2 linked regions of the Alligator mississippiensis genome follow. The protein of the gene in region 1 purifies or fractionates together with the protein of each later gene. This does not show direct contact. Links are inferred from orthologs where the notes say so. Each region holds a gene or a part of one and is shown on either strand. Other genes may lie near its edges. The genes, in order: RNGTT and PPP4R3A.

What was found.
Region 2: the proteins of RNGTT (region 1) and PPP4R3A purify together in Homo sapiens (affinity purification with mass spectrometry; 3 studies listed by BioGRID and IntAct, with this or other methods). This does not show direct contact. The link is inferred for Alligator mississippiensis from reciprocal best matches to the Homo sapiens genes RNGTT and PPP4R3A.

Annotation. Positions count from the first base shown.
Region 1 is NC_081824.1:76,589,195-76,598,671, forward strand, and holds the start of RNGTT (mRNA-capping enzyme), read right to left. Parts: upstream 3,626-9,477; 5' UTR 3,610-3,625; coding exon of another isoform or gene 3,539-3,609; coding exon 3,475-3,538; intron 1-3,474.
Region 2 is NC_081825.1:274,844,395-274,854,360, reverse strand, and holds the start of PPP4R3A (serine/threonine-protein phosphatase 4 regulatory subunit 3A), read left to right. Parts: upstream 1-5,837; 5' UTR 5,838-6,498; coding exon 6,499-6,640; intron 6,641-9,966. UniProt on the Homo sapiens protein: Regulatory subunit of serine/threonine-protein phosphatase 4. May regulate the activity of PPP4C at centrosomal microtubule organizing centers.

The sequences.
Region 1 (9,477 bases):
GTGGAAGCCCAGCAGAGGAAATAATGCTGAAAGGAAATCAGTATGAGTTCATTCTGCCTGACTAATCTTGTTTCTTTTTATGACCAGGTCACAAAATGCTTAGATGCAGATGCTGAGGTAGATGTCATTTAACTAGACTTTAAGAAGGCCTTTGATATGGTATCTCATTCTGTTCTCATAAACAAACTGACAGGCTGTGAAGTAGATGATTACACGACCAGGAGGGTGGCAAATTGGCTTAGGGGTTGCATGCAGAGAGTGGTGGTGGACGGGTCGATATCGACCTGGAAAGATGTGGGCCGTGGAGTCCCGCAAGGCTTGGTCCTCGGACTGGTGCTATTCAATGTCTTCATCAGTGACTTGGATGAGGGCATGGAGAGCACCCTGTCCGAGTCTGCAGATGATATCAAATTATGGGGCAAAGTTAACACACCAGAGGGTAGGAAACAGATCGAGGCGGATCTGGACAGGCTGGAAAAAAGAGCAGAACAAAATAGGATGCAGTTCAACAAAGACAAGCGCAAAGTGCTGCACCTGGGCAAAAAGAACTACCAACACACTTACAGGCTGAGGGATGACCTTCCCAGCAGCACAGCAGCAGAAAGGGATCTTGGCGTCATGGTTGACTCCAAGATGAACCTAAGTCATCAATGTGACAAAGTGATCAACAAGGCTAACCACACTTTCTCATGCATTAGCAGATGCACTTCAAGAGGGATGTGGAGAACCTTGAGAGGGCTTAGAGGAGGGCCACTCATATGGTCAGAGGCCTGCAGGCAAGGACCTACAACGAGAGACTGAGGGACCTAGATCTCTTCAGCCTTTGCAAGAGAAGGCTGAGAGGTGATCTTGTGGCTGCCTATAAATTCATCAGGGGAGGGCAGCACGGAATAGGAGATGCTCTATTTACTAGGGCACCCTCTAGAGTAACTAGGAACAATGGCCAAAATTGACAGACAGCAGATTTAGGTTGGACATTAGAAAGAAATTCTTCACAGTAAGGGTTGCCAGAATCTGGAATGGGTTTCCAAGGGAGGTGATACTGTCCCCTACCTTGGGGGTCTTCAAGAGGAGGCTGGACAAGCTCCTAGCAGACCCCAAAGTTCTTTCCTGCCCAGGGCAGGGGGTCAGACTCGATGACCTACTGAGGTTCCTTCCGACCCCAACATCTACGAATCCTATGATACCAATCCAATTTTCGATACACAGCTCTTCAGCTTGAAGCTGATAAGTCTGGTGTGGTGGAAGGGGTGTGTGTGTGGGGAGTGGGGGGATGGCATATCAAGGCCCCTGTGGTGAGGGAGGGAATGGAGCTGGTGCACATGCTGACCAGCCGGGGCAGGGACAGGCATGAGAGAGAGCCACAAGTGGCTCATCCGCAGGGGTGGGGTGTGTGCCACCCAGATCTGCACGGCACAGGGAAGGCTCTAGCTGTGGGCTGGGGTCGGCATAGGATGGAGGCACAGCTCGTTGGGGGGGGCGGCTCCTGCCACTGCGCACGGCTCATCTGGCAGCTCCGGCCACTGTTCCCACTACTCATCCGGGAGGGCATTGGGGGGGGATGTGCCCTCGGATCTGCCCAGCTGGGAAAAGCCTGGCCCCAGCCCGCCCTGCCCCATGCAGATCAGGGGCACACGTCCTGCCTCCCTGTGCCCTCCCGAACGAGCGGCAGCAGAGGTGGGAGCTACCAGACGAGCACTGGACAAGCCACAAACAGCAACGTGAGCTGCACACTTCACTCTCCTTCCTGCGCCCCATACCCACCCCAGCCAGGCAGCCCCTGCCCCGACCCCACGGGGGCCAATGCAAGGGACTCCCTCACCATGGGGGCCTTGATCTGCGCCTCCATGTTCCTTCCCTTTCCACCACACCAGACTTACCAGCTGCATGCAGCTCTTCATGCTGGTGGCTCTGCTGCTCACTGCCTACGTGCTGAGCTGTAGCTGTGTGCATGCACAGGCATTTACTGGACAAGTTATCAGCCACATTGGGCCGATTTCCGATACAGAAAATTTTCTTTACGTCAGTGCTGATCCCACATCAGACCAATGTATCGGTGTACTTCTAACATCCTTAGAAGTGGCCTGGGTACCTCAAAATAAAAGCATCTATGAGGCACACACATTTTGTACAAACGAAGAATCAGAGGGTAAGTAAACCAACAAAACTAAGTGACAAATTTTGAGAGGTTTCTGATGCCAAAAAGAAATCTGGCAGAAGAGATTGGTAGGTCTCTTGAGCCACAAGGATCTAAAGAAAGCAGTCAGAGTACAGTGTGGAAAAACTAAACAAATATACAGGCATGTTGCATCATACGCGCATTTAACTTGCGTGAATTCAACTATATGCAGGTGGGGAGGTGGGGCAGGGCTTGAGTCTGCACACGGCATTGCCGCTTACCTGGAGGCCTGGCCACTACCACGCTGCCAGCGGTGACTGCCTCTGCCTCCGAAACCTCCCACCGCCACCATGGAGCCGCACCCAGAGCTGTGTGGCCAGCTGCCGGGCGTGGCGGTGGCCGGGCAGCGCACAGCCATCCCCACCACCACCCCGCGCTGCACCGCTGCCGCCGGCCGCACAGCTCTAAGCACAGCTCCGTGACGGCGGGAGGTTTTGGAAGCAGAGGCAGTCACCACTGGCATGGTAATATGTGATTTCACTATACACGATTTTCGCTTTACATGCTGCCTTCAGAATGTAACCCCCCGTGTAAGATGCGACATGCCTATATTTGCGCTGGTGTTCACTCTAAAGCAGCAGTTCTCAACCTTTATAAACTCATGGGGCCCCTATGTAACTTGTCAGAATTTAACAGCACCTCACTTCAAAAACAAAAATAGATATACTAGATGATAGCATTGTTATTTAATGCATGCTTAATTATATCACTGTATCATAATGTAACACAAGATGTACCCGGAGTACCAAATCCACTCCTTCAGGCTGCTGGCAGGGATGCTTCCCAGCTCTGCCTGGCCTGACACACATTTGCTCCCGGTGCAGAATGTGAACTTGTCACACATGACCCAGGTCACTGCTGGAGACTGAAAACCAGGGGGGAGGATTTCTGCCCTCACGCCAGAAACAGCCAGTGATCATAGAGACACAGGGACAGCACCTAGCCACCAGGTCCACCTGGCCTGTGGAGACCAGGTGCCGAGCCGTATGCACAAGTGTGAGGGATGCTGAGAAGCAGGGGGTTGAGAAAGAGGCCCCAGGAGGCCCAAGGAAGGGAAGGGAGGGGAGGCCAAGGGGCACGTGCCTAGGGCAGAGCGGGGAAGGAGGTGGTGCTGACCCCAGAGGTACCCGACTGCCAAGCCCGAGGGCCTGCGGCCGGGGGCACCCGGCAGGGCGGAGTGCCCCACACTGGGCAGCTCGTCTCCCTTCGCCCCCGCGGCAGAGGCGGGACACGCCACCGGACCCCGCAGCCCCCGGGCCGGGCCGGGCCGGGCCGGGCCGGCACGCCCCGCTCACCTGCCACCGGCTGCCCCCGCCGGGGGCAGCGCAGCCAGCGCGGCGGGATCTTGCAGAAGGCCATGGCGGCGCCGCCCCCTGCCCCTGCCCCGGCGGCTCCCAGCGCTCCGCGGCCCGCGCCCGCCGCCGTTTCATTCAGCCCCGACTCCGCAACGCCCGCCGCCGGCCCGCCATGCACCGCGCACAGCCACTTCCGCCCCGGCACCTTCCGCTTCCGGCACTGCTCTGCACGCCGGGGGGTGGGGCCTCAGCATCCCCGCCGTGCGGCCCCTGGGGCGGGTGTGGGAGACCCCGCCTGGCCCCGCCCTTCAGTGCCGTCACGTCACTGGGGTCCCGGGGAGACCCGGGGGCGGGGCTTGTGCGCCTTGAGGTGCGAGCAAAACCTAAGGCAGCGTCCAGAGATTAACGCAGAAGCAAACTAGGCGCGTGCCTAGGTTCCTGGGTGAAGAAGGGGTCCAGCTGTGCTTATGTTACACAATATAATTATTGAGTGAAAAAAGTAATATAAACATCTCATCTTCAGCTCAGGAGTTTGCCTAGGGCCCACCAAAGGGTTAACCTGGCAGCTTCATTGAAATGAGTTAAAAACAGCTGCAGGGCTGTGAAACGAGTTACCAGGAGCAGCCGAGGGCTGGCCAAACAGAGGCTGGCTCACCTGGTGGAACAGCAAGACCATTAAAAAAGAAGAGCGGGTCCTTAGTGCTGTGGGAATGAAGAGTTTAGAAGGGGTGGGGTCGATTATAAAGAGCTGTGAAGTCAGTTGACTGCCTCAGCACTGCCTGACTAGAAATGCTGCTGCCACTGCCGGGCAGTTGGTTTTAAACATTAGATGGACAGGACTCCAAGGAGGGTGCAAGTATGCCAGTACTCCCCCAGGATCCACCCCTTTCTGAGGAGATTCCTACACGCTCCAGTTGCAGCTGTGGAGGCAGAACATGGGGGCCCTATGATGCTCATCCAAGGTGCCCCAGTATCAGCCTGGTTAGATGTGCAAACACCTACATGTGATTAGCCCAGAGATTTCAGATAGAAGCCTGTAGTGTCTGAATCATGCCAGCCTGCAGTGCTTTTTTCTTTGGCACAGAAGAAGAGCTCTGTTATTTTTCCACAGACAAAAACCAAAGCTGAAGCAAGACGCTAGTGGCCTCAAGTAGTACCACAGATGTAGTTCTCAGGGGCTGGTAGTGATCAGGCAGAGGCTGCGCAGAACTCAGCCTGTGCTCCAAATCCTGCCAGAGACACTGAGTAAAGACGGTGGGAACTAACCCACACAAAGCATCGTGCTGCCATGCCGAGAGCTTACTTCCAGCATGGCCCCCAGAGTGTGACCTGCCTATATTCAATCCTGCTCCAAATCCAGGATAGGAGGGTGAAGTTGTTCCCAGTACACCAAAGACCAAGCTCTTAAAAACAGCCACAGAGGGGCAGCCTCGCCAAAGCATTTCTGAATTTGGAGCATGTCAGTGGGAGTAGGTGGGAAATGTGTGCATGGAGGTGTCCTGGCCAAAACAAATTGCTGCAGTGTAAACATACCCTTAGACTCACCGGTACCCAACCTAACTAGCTAGGACAAGTCCACACTACTCTGTAGTCAGAAGCCTGATTGTAGACACGCTCCGAGTACAGGGAGTCACTCACAAGCATATTTAGAAAGTGTATAAGAGGCAACAAACAAGTGCGAAGGGTCAGTTCTGATGTCGGTACACTGACTAGTTGCAGTTCGATGAGCAATTTCTTTTTTCCTGTGAAGAAATTATTTGTCCAATGACAGAGTCATGCAGGAACACAGTCAGATTATAGATTTTTTTGTATCTAGAGCTGACAGCACTTTCATAGCTCTATATGACCTTACATACTTTTAACATAAACTTCCCCTTATCATCTGCTGTCCATTACTATGAGATGCAGGCTTTTTTCTTACACAAAGGGCAGTGGTCCTAGGCCCAACAAGAAAATTGTAAGTCTCCTTCAGTTAGGGAGGCCGCTAAGAGCGTAACAGCTGTTTTCAGGGAACAATAAATGAAAAAACCAACAGACAGGACTCTTATAATAAGAGTTTCAAGGGAAAACTCCAAGCAGAAAACACCAGACAGCACCCACTGCCCCTCATCTGTGTTCATGGAGTCTGTGGACACCCCCCAGTGAAACTGCCCAGAGACATGCACAAAGGAGTAACAGAAAAACAGTCCCACAATCATAGATTTCATAGATTTCATAGATGTTCGGGCTGGAAGGGACCCTGGAGGATCATCTAATCCAGCCCCCTGCCCCGGGGCAGGAAGTCAGCAGGGATCATAGGATCCCAGCAAGATAAACATCCAAAAGTGTCTTGAAGACATTCAAAGTAGGTGCTTGAACCACCTCTGGTGGCAGTCTATTCCAAACCTTGGGGGCTTGGACAGTAAAGAAGTTCTTCCTTATGTCTAGCCTGAAACGGTCACAGAGGAGTTTGTGACCATTTGATCTTGTCATCCCTTGGGGCGCTCTGGAATCACTCAGGATTCCCCCAAGCAAGGGCCTCATTTCTGTTCTGGTACATGGCAAGTTTGGCCAGAGCCAGGAGGAGGCTGACTAAGAGATCCCAGGACTTGGCAGGGCCATGGTTAGGGAGTACATAAAATAAAAGGTGTAGGGAGAAGTGCAGCCAGAACCTTAGAAGGAGGTTCCTGAGGAGGTGGTGGAGAGGCTGCAGTTTGGCACACACAAAGAAGGCATGCATCAAGCAGGGCTGGATTAGCCCTTTAGTGGGCCATAGACAAACAAACTTCTGGGCCCCAGGCGAGTTGAGACCCCCGTCCCCAACTCGGTGCTGCCAAGCACCGAGTCAGAGCCGCCACTGGGAAGCAGCCACCACCGAGGCAAGGCCAGCAGAAGGGAGGGGAAGGGAAGGGAGGCAGACGGGGCCATTCGCACCACCGCCATAGAGGGAAACACCAGGGCCTTCCTTGCAACTTAGGGCCGTAGGCATGTACCTAGTTTGCCTATGTGTTAATCTAGCCCTGGCACCAAGATCTCTCTCTGTTGACATGAAGGGCAGGTGTCAGGGGAATCAGTGAAGCAAGTCAGATACCTGCCCATGGAGACAGTTCCATGCAGGACCTGTCAACCAATGTCCCCAATGACTTGTGGGAATATGGGTAGAATATGGGTTGTTCCACTGGGGACTCTCACCCTTCCTGAAGGTGCCCTGCCCATTGGTGTCTAGGCAGGCTTTGAGGGCATCAGAGTGAGTGTGTAATGTGAAGCACAAGAATCTAGAGCTGGCAGCAGTGGGCTGTTCAGAAGTAGACTAGTTTTGTATTCCCCAGCCTGCTAGGATGGTGTGCTAGGGAATGTCGTGGGACCTGTCAAGGCAGGAGCCCCAAGACAAGCTCCAGAGGGTTTGGGGAATGGGCAGTAGGGCTGTGCAAAACAGCGACGTTCCGTTTTGACCAGCATTTCAATGTTTCGAAAGAACAGCGTTCCGTTTCAAATTTTGTTTCGATTTGAAACAGCTGTTCCATTCCGTTCCATTCTGTCAAAACAGGGTTGAAAAGGCAAAACTGTTTTGACGTTTAGCCCATAGAATATAATGAGGAAGGTCAAAACAGCCTATAACTTTGTCATTTCTGGCCTGATTTGGATAAAACATGCAGGAATAGTAGCCTCTGTTGAGGCCACAAAGCCTACTAAGCTTCAAGGAGATAGATGCAGGGTGTTTGGGGAAACTGCACCCCAAAATCTTGAAAGCAAAACTCAAGTCATGTGTATGTGTTAAGCCACAGTGGGGTCAAAACTGCAGGCATGCTAGCCCCTGCTGAGACCACAAAGCCTGTCAAGTTTCAAGGAGATAGGTGCAGGGGTTTGGGGGAAACTGTACTACAAGCTGCAGACAAGCAAAACTCGTGACATGGGTGACACTGTGTGTGTTAAGGCGCAGCAGGGTGAAAGCTGCAGGCTGATAGCCCCTGCTGAGGCCACAAAGCCTGCCAGCTTTCAAGGAGATAGGTGCAGGGGTTCTGGGGCCCTGCACCTCTAGCTGCTGACTGGCAAAACTCATGTCATGGGTGCCTGTGCAACTCTGTCCGTCCTGGGGCACAGGGAGGGGAGAAACTACTGCAGGCTGGGCTGCCAGGCCCTGCTGTGGCCACAAAGCCTGCCAGCTGTCAAGGAGATCGGTGCAGGGGGGTTCTGGGGCCCTGCACCCCTAGCTGCTGACAGGCAAATCTCGTGACATGGGTGCTTGTGCAACTGCTGCCTCTCATCAACCAGCAGGACTGAAGATCCCCGATCACTTGCCGCCACACACCTGGGGGTAATAATTGACCATAGTATGAACATAAGCCGGCGGTGCGATGCTGTAGCCAGCAGGGCCAACAATACTCTAGCATGCATCAATTGATGCATCTCCAGCAAAACCAGCAAAATCATTGCAAAGAAATGATTCTCCTGCTCTACTCGGCTCTACTCGGTATTGGTGAGCCCGCAGCTGGAGCACTGCATCCAGTTCTGGGCTCCGCACTTTTAACAAGGACGTGGTAAAACTTGAGAGAGTCCAGAGAAGGGCTACCCATATGATCAGAGACTTGCACAGCAACCCGTATGAGGAAAGGCTGAGGGATCTGGGACTCTTCAGTCTGAAAAAGAGAAGGCTGAAAGGGGACTTGGTAGCAGCTTACCACTACATCAGAAGCGTACATCTAGGGCTCCCTTGGGGAAAACTAGGAATAATGGTCACAGTCTGGACAGCCTAGTTGTGAAGTAGTTTTTCCTAAGGTTGAGCCTGAAATGATCTTCCAGGAGTTTGTGATCATTACTCCTAGTTTTACCCAATGGTGCCCTGGTGAACAGTTGTGGTTTAACACATACACATGACATGAGTTTTGCTTTCAAGATTTTGGGGGGCAGTTTCCCCAAAGCCCCTGCATCTATCTCCTTAAAATTTAGCAGGCTTTGTGGCCTCAGCAGGGGCTACCATTCCTGCAAGTTTCATCCAAATCAGGCCAGAAATGACAAAGTTATAAGCTGTTTCAACCTTCCCCATTATGGCGTATGGGCGAAACGTTTCGACTTGCCTCATTTTGTTTCGAGGCTGTTTCGACCATATCTGTTCCATTTCGATTTTGCTGTTTTGACCTTGAAATGAGTTGAAACAGCGTTGAAACAAAACTGGTGGCAAAATTTTGCACAGCCCTAGTGGGCAGGCAGGGACTGCCCTTGTACTGGACCTTGGTGAGATGTAGGATTCTGGGCTAGATGGACCTGTGGTCAAAACCAGTATGGTATTTTTATGTTCTCTCATGTTAAAAATATAGCACTTGTCTGGGGAAAATACAGAATTGTTGTTATGTAGTTAACCAGGACCTCAACACCAATTCTGAAGAAGGGACCATTGTTCCTGGGCAGGGAGCACAGCAATGGGTCACACAGTGACTGGATTGGAAGAGGGGTGCTGGGCAGGGGAGGGGCAGTTCACCTCCAGAGTTAGCTGAGCTAATTTGGCCTGCTGTACCTAAAAGGTTGCTAACCCCTGGCATAAAAGATTAAATAGATTTTTTAAAGACTTTCCTTTAATTTAATGACCAACTGAATTAATTTGCCATGTGATTGTTTAATGCCTGTGCTGGACTGTATGCACTATTTATATATACTATAAATGCTTTTGGGTGTTTACTACTAAATTGTAGTAAAATTAGTTGATTGTCAATAAACCTTTACTCTTATTTAAACCTAAATAACTAGTCATTTTGTATCCCAGTAATATTTGCATCATGATGGTGTTGAAAGAGAAAATTATTGTCTTGGTATCTTATCCCATTCTCATAAATAAATTAAGAGTCTGTGACATAGATGTTTACACGGTCCGGTGGGTGGCAAATTGGCTTAGCGGTCACACCCAGAGAGTAGTAGTAGATGGGTCGGTATCAACCTGGAAGGATGCGGGTAGTGGGGTCCCGCAGGGTTCAATCCTTGGACCTGTGCTCTTCAATATCTTCATCAGTGAATTGGATGTGGGTGTAAAAG
Region 2 (9,966 bases), on another chromosome or scaffold:
CTTGGACCACCTCTGGAGGGCGTCTATTCCAGGCTTTGGGGGCTCGGACAGTAAAGACGTTTTTCCTTATGTCCAGCCTAAAATGGTCTTGGAGGAGTTTGTGACCATTGGTCTTTCTCATCCCTTGGGGCACTCTGGTGAACAGGCATTCACCCAGATCCTGATGCATATCCCTTATGTACTTATAGGCTGCCAGCAGGTCACCCCTGAGCCTGCGCTTCTCCAGGCTGAAGAGTCCCACGGCTCTCAGCCTCTCTCCATAAGGCCTGTTCTCTTGCCCTTTGATCATGCATGTGGCTCTTCTCTGGACTCTTTCAAGCTTCTCTACATCCTTCTTGAATTGTGGAGCCCAGAACTGGATGCAGTACTCCAGCTGTAGCCTCACCAAGGCCGAATACAGTGGGAGGATGGCATCCTGAGAGTTACTTGAGAAACATCTATGGATGCAAGCCAGCATTTTGTTTGCTTTACCAATTGCGACATTGCACTGGTGACTCATGTTCATCTTGTGGTCAATCATTCTTGGTTGCGCTGCTAGTGAACATAGCACTGCCAAGCCTATATACATGCTGCAGGTTTTTTCCCCCCCAAGGTGGAGCACCTTGCATTTATCGGTATTGAAAGTCATCAGGTTTATATCTGCCCACTTTCTGAGCCTATCCAGGTCAGCCTGGATCACCAGCCTATCCTCAAATGTGGACGCTTTGTAGCAAGAAACCTTTTTTTTGCCTGCCCACCCCCCTCCAATGTGAAACCCTTCCATATGGCAAAAAGCCCCTTTTGCAGTATTTGCCCCCTTTGGGGGATGCTTTCTCTTTTCTACCTTTTCTTCCTTCCTCCCTTTTCTTCTATTGTTATTTTTATAGAATATAAGGTGTACTTGTAATAAAATATAGTTTGTAGATGCTTTTATGGGTATAAAATAGTATTCTGCATCAGTATGTCCCCCTTCCCCCATTGTATTTGGTCTATTTGTTGCATGTGCCATGGTATTTTACCCTTCTATGTTTTATATTCTATGCTTTTTAACTTTGTAACAAATGTACTTTAAGTTTAAAAGTAAGTTGTACCATGTAACAATATTAGCAAGGGCAGGAATCAAACCACAGCTTCTCTGTATGCAGTGGGTCCCTGAATGAATCTTGGTTGATTGTGTAACACAGTAGCTAGACAGGATAACAGGCTAACAAGTGGCAATTAACACCTACCAAACCACAGACTAAGGAGAGGATTAATACAGAGCCAGGAACTCCCTGAAACTTTACTGTTAAAGGTACAAAGGCCCTGGTTTGAACTAATCACAGCAGTGAATTAATCAAACTTTATCAACAGACTCCCAAGACTTATGTACCTGTGGATGTGACCCCTGGGGCTGACAGATGCCATCCAGCAACCACCAAGGGGGATGTCTCACGAGGTCAATTACCCCTGGATTGGGTTAGCCCGAAAATTGGGGAGTCACCAAAGTCTGCCAGAGAGGGATAAAAGGCAGCAAAGAATGATCCCCCAATGGCGCCCTTTCTGACCTGACCAGCACCCTGCCTGCCCAGCCAGAAGGACCAGCCAGCAACCCCCTTCTGAAGCAACATCACACTGAAAGAACCCTCGACTGGCCATCGACAGCAGACTCTAGCACTTGGGGATAGGTATATCTTGACATCGGTGCTTAGTGTTCATAGCTAGCTACTGTGAGTAGGTGTGCATGAATGTGTGTGTCTGAGGGGATCAGCCCCAAGGTTTATGATCTGACTTTTGCATCCGTCTAATAAACTAGAATTCTATGATGATCCTGTGAGTTGGTCCTTTGTCGCCAACAGCTCTACCCCAAAGTTTAGTGTCATCGGCGAACCTGGCCAGTCCACTTCTGACACCAGTGTCCACATCGTTAATAAAGACATTAAAGAGAACAGGTCAAAGAATGGAGCCTTTAGGGACACCACTGGTCACAGAGTGCCATAATGATTCACTTCGTCAACTACCACTCTCTGGGTCCAGCCTCAGAGCCAATTCCCCAGCCATTGGACTGTGATGTAGCTGAGGCCACAGTTGGTCAATTTTTCTATGAAGAGATTATGGGACACCAGATCAAAGGCTTTTTTAAAGCCTTACATCAGGGGTGTCCAACCTCTTTGAATGTGGGGCCCGATCATGAACTTTTTATCACCTAGTGGGCTGGTGAGCCATATTCAAAAACCTCACAGGAAGCGGTATCACATCAGGAAGTGATGTCATGTGACCTTTGACATCAATTAAGTTGCAGGAAGTGACAATGAAATGGGTCTAACCAGTTCAAAACTCTCCCTCTATAGCATCCACCTCTGCCACTGTTTGGGACAGGATACTGAGCTAGATGGACCATTGGGCTGGACAAGCATGGCACTTTTTATGCTCTTCTGTTCTTTGGCTGAGCTTCCAAAATATGGCTGAGATTTGTAAAAAGGGGTAGATAGACATGTTACAAAGTTGTCATAAAAGATTTGAAGCCCTCTAAATTCCATTCATTTTAATGGAAGTTGACCTTTTGATTCAGCTTTGAAAATCTCAGCCCAAGGTGCCAACCAAATAAGTCAAAATATATTTTGCATTTCTATGCAGTGCATCTATGTGGGGCTCTCCAAGCATTTTACAAACATTATATTAACCTCAGGATATCCCTGTTTTTCAGAAGAAATGTGATGGTGAGGACATTTTGGGAACATCTCTCACTCTCTGTGTGATCTGCTTCTACTATCCTTGGACCACCCTAGAAGGGCCCTCACTACCTCATTTCCAGTTCAAAGCAGGTAAAAGTGTAAGTGGGTAGGAAGGGTTTATATTTTGGCAGCAGGTTTGAGTGGCTTGAAGCTAGTGAAGATGTACCCACAATTAGTCACTGACCAGAGTGGGAATACAGTTGTCCTCACTTATTAACATGGCTCCAAGGCCCGGCACTGTTTGTGCCTACATGTTGCTCTCATGTCCTCTTGCTTTCCTAAATCTCATGAGAGTAGAGGATTCCCATCATGCCTCCTGGACTGCCGTCACCCAATAGCTGTCCTAGTTTTAAGGTTGTGCTTCTGACTCTTTCATGGCTTCTTTTAGGGTGCACACTTAGAACTCTGCCTTTTCCTTCCCACCCATTTTGCTGAATTGTGATTATTCCTATGGGGCATGAATTTAGTCCAGTGGCTATGATTCTGCTTTCTCATACAGAGGTAATGACTCTCACAAAGCATGGCATATTTTAGTAGGATAAAAACATTTTGAAGGCCATACAGAAAACAATAAGCAGTTTTTACTCACATGAGCTTACCAGGTATCAACCACCTGCTACTTGGGTTCCTGGCAGATACAGACACAAGTTTATTAGCACATTGTTCCAGAGTGAGTCTCTGTGCCATAGCCTACATCAAGTCTCAGATCTAGGGAGCCTGACCCCTCCCCAGCCATAGGCTGGTCATGTAATACCAATCTGCTGGCCGGTGCAGACCCGGCTGGGCTCCTCCCATCCTCAGAAGCATGTGGGAAGCCAGCTTCAGCTGCATGCCACTTTTCCTGGCTAGTGCTGACCCAGCTGGGTCCGTCCCATCTGGAGCAGCACACGGCTGAAGTCGGCTTCTCACAAGCTGCTGGGGCTGGGAGGAGGCCGGCCAGGTCTGCACTGGCCAGCAGAAGCGGTGGCGGAGCTGTGTGCCACTTGGGACTGACTTGGTGCAGGCAGGGGGAAAATGCAGCTGAGCCCCTGCTGCTCCGGCCGGGCTCATCCCATCCTGAGAGGCACACGGCTCTGCCACCACTTCTGCTGGCCGGTGCAGACCCGGCTGGGCTCCTCCCGTCCCCAGCAACATGTGGGAAGCCGGCTTCAGCTGCATGCTGCTTTTCCTGGCTAGTGCAGACCCAGCCGGGTCCATCCCATGCAGAGTATGTTGGACAAGCCTGCCTTAAGTCACCCTTGTTTTAGCAGAGTTTTTCAGATTGAAGCCCATGGGACTGTTTTCTTCTTCCTTCTTTCTAATTCTAAATGTAGTTTTAGCCAAATATGACACAGCTAATAAAAAGCTGCTTGGAGCAAGGGAAAAGAATGGCTAGAGACCACCCCTGCTTACCTAATATGCTCTCAGATGCACTTTGCTATGCTTGCAGTGACTGCCAAAATATTTTTAAATGCCCAACTACAGTGTCAAGCATACAAAAGAGACCTTAAAACTTTCACTTAAGTTGGCTGATTTTGTATAACAAGGGAAGACCATTCATACAAAGTAGTATCTCCCTACCATTCCCCAAAGTAGTATCACACTATGTGGCCAGAAGACAGGAGGACTTTCCTATGTCTCGGGCCCAAACCTGTGCTTTTCAAAAACAAACAAACACAACAAACTCCAACCAACCAACCAACCAACAAACACTTTCAGACCATTGCATACAGCAGTCAAGGAAACAGTTGCATACAGTTTCAGCCATGCCCTGGCTGAAGTCCCACTCTTCAGAGTTTGTGCCGGTGGCAAGGTATGATTTTACCATCTTTGTTAAATGTTCTCATTTTCATTAGGTAGATAAATACATATTCACAGCCAGTTGTCTCATGGTCACTGCTGAGGCCCAGAAGTAGGTCCCAAATAAATGCCCACAGTTGAACACAACTAAACTGTGGAGGAGTTCAGAATTGGTTATTGATTTTGTGATTAGCCACAATCTCTCTTAGTGGGGTATAGCAAAAAATTGAAGATGGGGAAAGAAAAGAGTTAGCTGGAGAGAGACCTTACCAGGGTGGGGTTGTAGCACACTAGGCTTAGCAAAATTTATTCTTATAAAAAAATGTCAATGTCCACTGAACAAAAAAATCAAAGATTTAATCCTCTGAATTAAGTGCCTTTTGCAATGGACCTCTGTATGCAGCGGAAGGATAGGAAGGTCCCAGAGACACCAGTGAGGTTGCCTACTTTTTCAATTTTGGTGGAGTCTTTAAGGAAAAATCTGTCAAGCATATGCTCTGATGTTGGCAGCAGCAGCAGCTTCTGTTTGTTACTGCAGCTGGTGAGACGCATCTCAGTCTGTTCAGTATAGTCCAGAAGCCGTGTAACTTTTGCACTGCTTAGCCATGAATGAGCCTAATAGAAAGGATGCTTTTGCAGAAGGATTACTTCATCTGCATTGGACAAAACAGAAGCAACCCAACATCTGAAGCTGGGCCTTAAGCATGATCTATCTATGTAAGCGGGAGGAAGGAAGGGAAAAAAGAAGCTTCTTAGAGCACAGGCTTCTTTGCCAGCTGGGCGTCTGCTAGGACTGCCTGACCACAACCTCAGCCCCCCACTCTGCTCCTACACAGGCAGTTTCAGGAGCACCAAGGCATGGTTTTGCCATCTCCGGTTGGCTCCTTCCCCTCAGATGAGCTGTAGGCCTGTCTCTGCCACTCTGGGGGCAGATCTTGGTACCCCCAAGCTGCTCCTTACGGCTGCAGTTCCTGGCTCTAGCAGCTTGCTATTGACCCACAAGGGCAGCTCTGGAAACACAACCCAGGTGTTTTCTCACCCCGAGCAGCTTCGTTCCCAGAGTACACTTCAAAGCCCTGACCCACCGGGCGGCTGGGAGCCACCTGGGCCGTGCCCCCTATGCCATCCCACCTGGCCGAGCCCCCACGTGCCAGAGGTGGCCACGCGAGGCAGCCCTGCGGCTGAGGGGAAAGCGCCGCGAGGTGGGGCTGCCCCGGCCTGGCACTGCGGGCTGGGTGTGCACGGCTGGGGGGCTGAGGTGAGGCGCTGCCCCGGCACGTGCCGCAGCGCCGACACCTCCCGCCCGCGAGTGCGCTGCCCCTTTAAGCGGCGACGGCCCGTGCCGCCGCTGGCTGGGAGACCCCGCGCTGTAGTGAGCGGTGAGACCAAGATGGCGGCCGCGCAGTGACTGAGGCGGAGACGGACAGGCCGCGCCGCGCCCCCGCCCGCCGACAGGACCGGATCGGACCCGACCTGACCCGACAGGACCGGACGGGAGGGGGCCGGGGCCGGGGCCGGGTCGGGCCGCCCGCCCGCAACGCAGCGAGCCCGCGGAGCCAGGCCGCAGCAGCAGTAGCCGCCGCCGGCGGAGGAAGGAGAACATGGCGGCGGAGCCGGGCCAGGAGTGAAGCCGCCGCCTGCGAGCGGAGCCCATGGGGCGGGCTGGGCGCTGAGGCCGCCGCCGCCGGGCCGAGCAGGGGGAGAGGCCGCGCCGGCCCCGCGCTGCGAGCGGGGCAGGAGCGAGCGAGCGAGCGGCGGGGCCGTGGCCGTGGCCGGGGCCGGGCAGCTCCGCACAATAGAGCCGGGCCGCCGCCGATGTCCCTCTGACGCCACTCGTGCTCCCTGCCCTTGACCGGGCTGCGCCCCCTCGGCCCGCCCGGGCCATGCGAGCCGCGGCCTGAGGAGCGCCGGCCGCTGCGTGGGGCCCTGCCCGCTGCCGCCGCCGCCGCCTCCCGTGCGGGCCGCCCCCTCCTCCTGTCTCTCCAGGTGTCCCAGGCCGGGCGGCTGCGGCGCGGCCGGCGGCAGGATGACTGACACCCGGCGGAGGGTGAAGGTTTACACGCTGAACGAGGACCGGCAGTGGGATGACCGGGGCACCGGGCATGTGTCCTCTGGCTACGTGGAGAGGCTGAAGGGCATGTCCCTGCTTGTCAGGGCAGAGAGCGATGGTAAGTGTCTGAGGTTGCGGCGCTTCCTTGCTGAAAGCAGCTGGGGCTTGGCTTTCTGTAGTGAGCCTGGCCCCTGCCCTTCATCTGGGATCCCTGAACCAGCCAGGTAACAGCTCTGGGTCACTCCTGTTAGGCGCGGGGATAGGGCTGGAGATTGGCGCCTTGCACAAACATTGTAGTACGCGTGGTGTTTACACTGGATACGCGGGCACTGGCCTGCCTGCCAAATACGCTCCGTTCTGGTTGCAGGCTGCAAACCAGGCTGTCTTCTGCCTTTGCCTGTGGGATTGGCTTTGTGGGAAATGTTTCCCTGGATCCTTTCTGAAAATGATGACAGGCTTCCCCTGATGGAAGGAACTGTTCAGAGTTTTATTAGTGTCTTTATATCTGTTCTGTAGGCTTAAAATGCAAACGCGCATCTTGTGCCAGATCCACACATGCTGTAGCATTGCTGGTTTCAAGGCAGTACAAAAACACCTTTTGGGTATCTTCCCCCCCCCCCCCCCCTTGGACTAGCCACAGCGCTCAACACTCACCAAAACTGATTTTGAGTTGCTGCATAATGCTTCATTTTAAGGGAATTTATGAATTTATTACCCATTTGCCAGGCACTCCAAACATGTTTCTCTAGAGCACTGTGTGTAGGTTTTATGTAAGAATTATCCATGGCTATTGGATCAACAAGTTAATGGTTGTTGTGGTTACTACAGATTTTATTTTAAAATACATCTTGCTTCATGTTAATAGTGGTACGGAGCAGCAAAGAAGATAGATTTAACTGGTTAAACCTCAAGTTTATAGTTGTGAGAGCCTTCTGTCCTGTGGACCATCTTGCAGACTGCTGTTGGTTGCAGGCAGCAACCAAACTGAAATTAAAGCTAGACAACTTCAGTGAGGTCACAGATTTCAGCCAGTGGAGGGAAAGGTCCTGAGAACCTTCACTATTATGCTAACTCATGACATCCTCTAGTGAAGGACTTTAAACTTAGGAAACTAATAATCAAAACCCTTCCTGATTGATTCAGTTAATGATAATTTAGCAGTTTAGAGAATAACAAACTACACAAAAGCTGGATGTATATATATAAAATAGGTTTTTACCAAATCATTTCAAGACTGTCCTCTATTAGCCCTTATGAAATAAGACAGACATTCAAGATTGGAACAGACTTCCACTGTTGAATCTCAGTACCAGAGTTGAGAGGTAGAGGGAGGAAACCATTAGTGGTGTATCTAAAACCTGGCTTACTTTTGTGTTTATTTAGCATCTTTATAATGGATATAATTATAGCACATTCTGTCTCCATGACTGCTGTTGAAGACCCTTAATAAATAAGTAGAATAAAACTGAAACGCCTCACAAAGGAAACTGAAACATAGAGTTAAATATATAAAATGGAGTGGGCTGAATTTGAAGCGTCAACAGAGCCTGTTTTAAAGTATTGTCTTTGCGTTGATTTCAGTAGAATTTGTGTGTTGTCTCAAGGCAGAATTGAACCTAAATAACATTCAAGTTGGTAGTTTTTTTGCTGTAATTTTAAAGTGGGAGTGAGATGAAGTATTTTAAATAATGTTTTAATGTTTATTTTAGCATGACTAAATACCCATTTATATACGTTATATTTTCAAAAAAATATGTAACTGTCCAACTGAAAGTGTTCAAACTTGTTGCTTTCAGTTACAGTAGTCTTATTTAATGAGATGTCACACCTGTTGTACCTTTTACAGTATATGCAGTTTGTTATTGGGTAATGAAATCCTCTGCACAAAGTGTTTGTGGCTAATACCAGTAGGACTTTGGTAACTGTTACTTTTTTTCCCACAGTTTACCATATCAGACAAGACCAGAACTTTACAAATGCATCTTCTTTCCAAAAATAAGCTACTGGAAATTGGGGTGGAAAATGGAGGGAGCAGAGGGTCCAGTCCTCTGGGAGCTGAACTGGTCTTCCCTTCCCTTCTTGTTGACCTGTCCAGTAAGCCAAACTGGCTGACCATTAATTCTCAAGCCGGGTGGGCAGCCAGCAGTACCTGCTATGTCCCACAGCTAGGGGGTTAACAGAGCAGTCATAGCTTTTTGCTTCTCCTTCCCCTGTCACTGCAGGTGTCTGTTTTCATTGGGGAAAAAAATACCCTATGTGTATTTTCAAGGAAAGATTTTTCTTTTTCTTTCCATTTCTACCCCTTCTCTTTCTCCCCCTCACCCACCCCATTCATCTCAAGAAAAGGTGTGTCCTGTTCCCGGGAGGGCATGTGATACCCAAGAAAATACAATATGTAGCTGTCTGTTTTAAGTTTAACAGGCTAGAGCATGAGAGATGACAGACTTAATTCTCTGTTATTCCTAAATTTAAGCAAGCAAATTAACCAGATAGTTTCAGTATCAAAGTCAGCTGTTTACAAGCCAATCATTAAGGCTTGCTCTTATGTAATGACTTTAATAAATGACAGTGTAATGTGCAGTTATTTATAAATATGAGCAAATAATTCTTTAAAAATAGTCAAACCATATTTCTAGTGCATAGGTATGACAGGTCTTAATTTGACTGCTGCCCCTCACTTTGTCTCCACATCCCCATTAGTTCGGTGTTTGCTCTCTGCTGTCTGTTGCTCCCTTGTTTGCTGTGGCATTATTTATTTCCTTCCTCCTTTTGATTCCTTTTTTCCTGCAGTTTGGGGTTGTGGGTTGGTTTGCTTTTGGTAAGGTAGTGCACCTGTTTCAGTTTACTTAGGGAAGCTGATGGAAATTTCTGCCTTCCAGATAGGTCAGAGAGGGAATGCAACCAGCAGTCCATCTTATCTACTGTCTGGTCAGGTGGTACAGCCACTCACAACAGCTAGAACATTGGAACTGCTGTATTTATATTAGGCCAGTAGGGTACATGTTGTCAAAGAAATGACAGTTGACACTGGTTAAACCCAGATGTATTCCAAATTGTCTGCCACAGTTTTTAATATTACTATACTTAGTTTGTTAGAGAATGGATTATGCCCTGAAATATCAGGGTTTATAGCACTATTTTTTTTTTTAAACCCACCTGTTGCGACTTTAGAAGTTCATATCATTATTTGTCAATCCTTTATTTAGGTCTTGTAAATCTCTTCTTAATATAAGCTAATAATGATGAGCTCAGCCTGTTGGTTATGTTTCTGAGACAAAAGTTGGTTTCACTTTCATTCAGTCCCCTTGTTCTCATTTAAGTCATGGGGAGGATAATTTCTGTTCTCTCTACCATTCATTTATTAAATACCAGTATTGTATTTTCCCTCCTATTCAGTTGACAGAGAAAGACCACCTTAAAATCTTTTCACATTTTTAAAAGTTT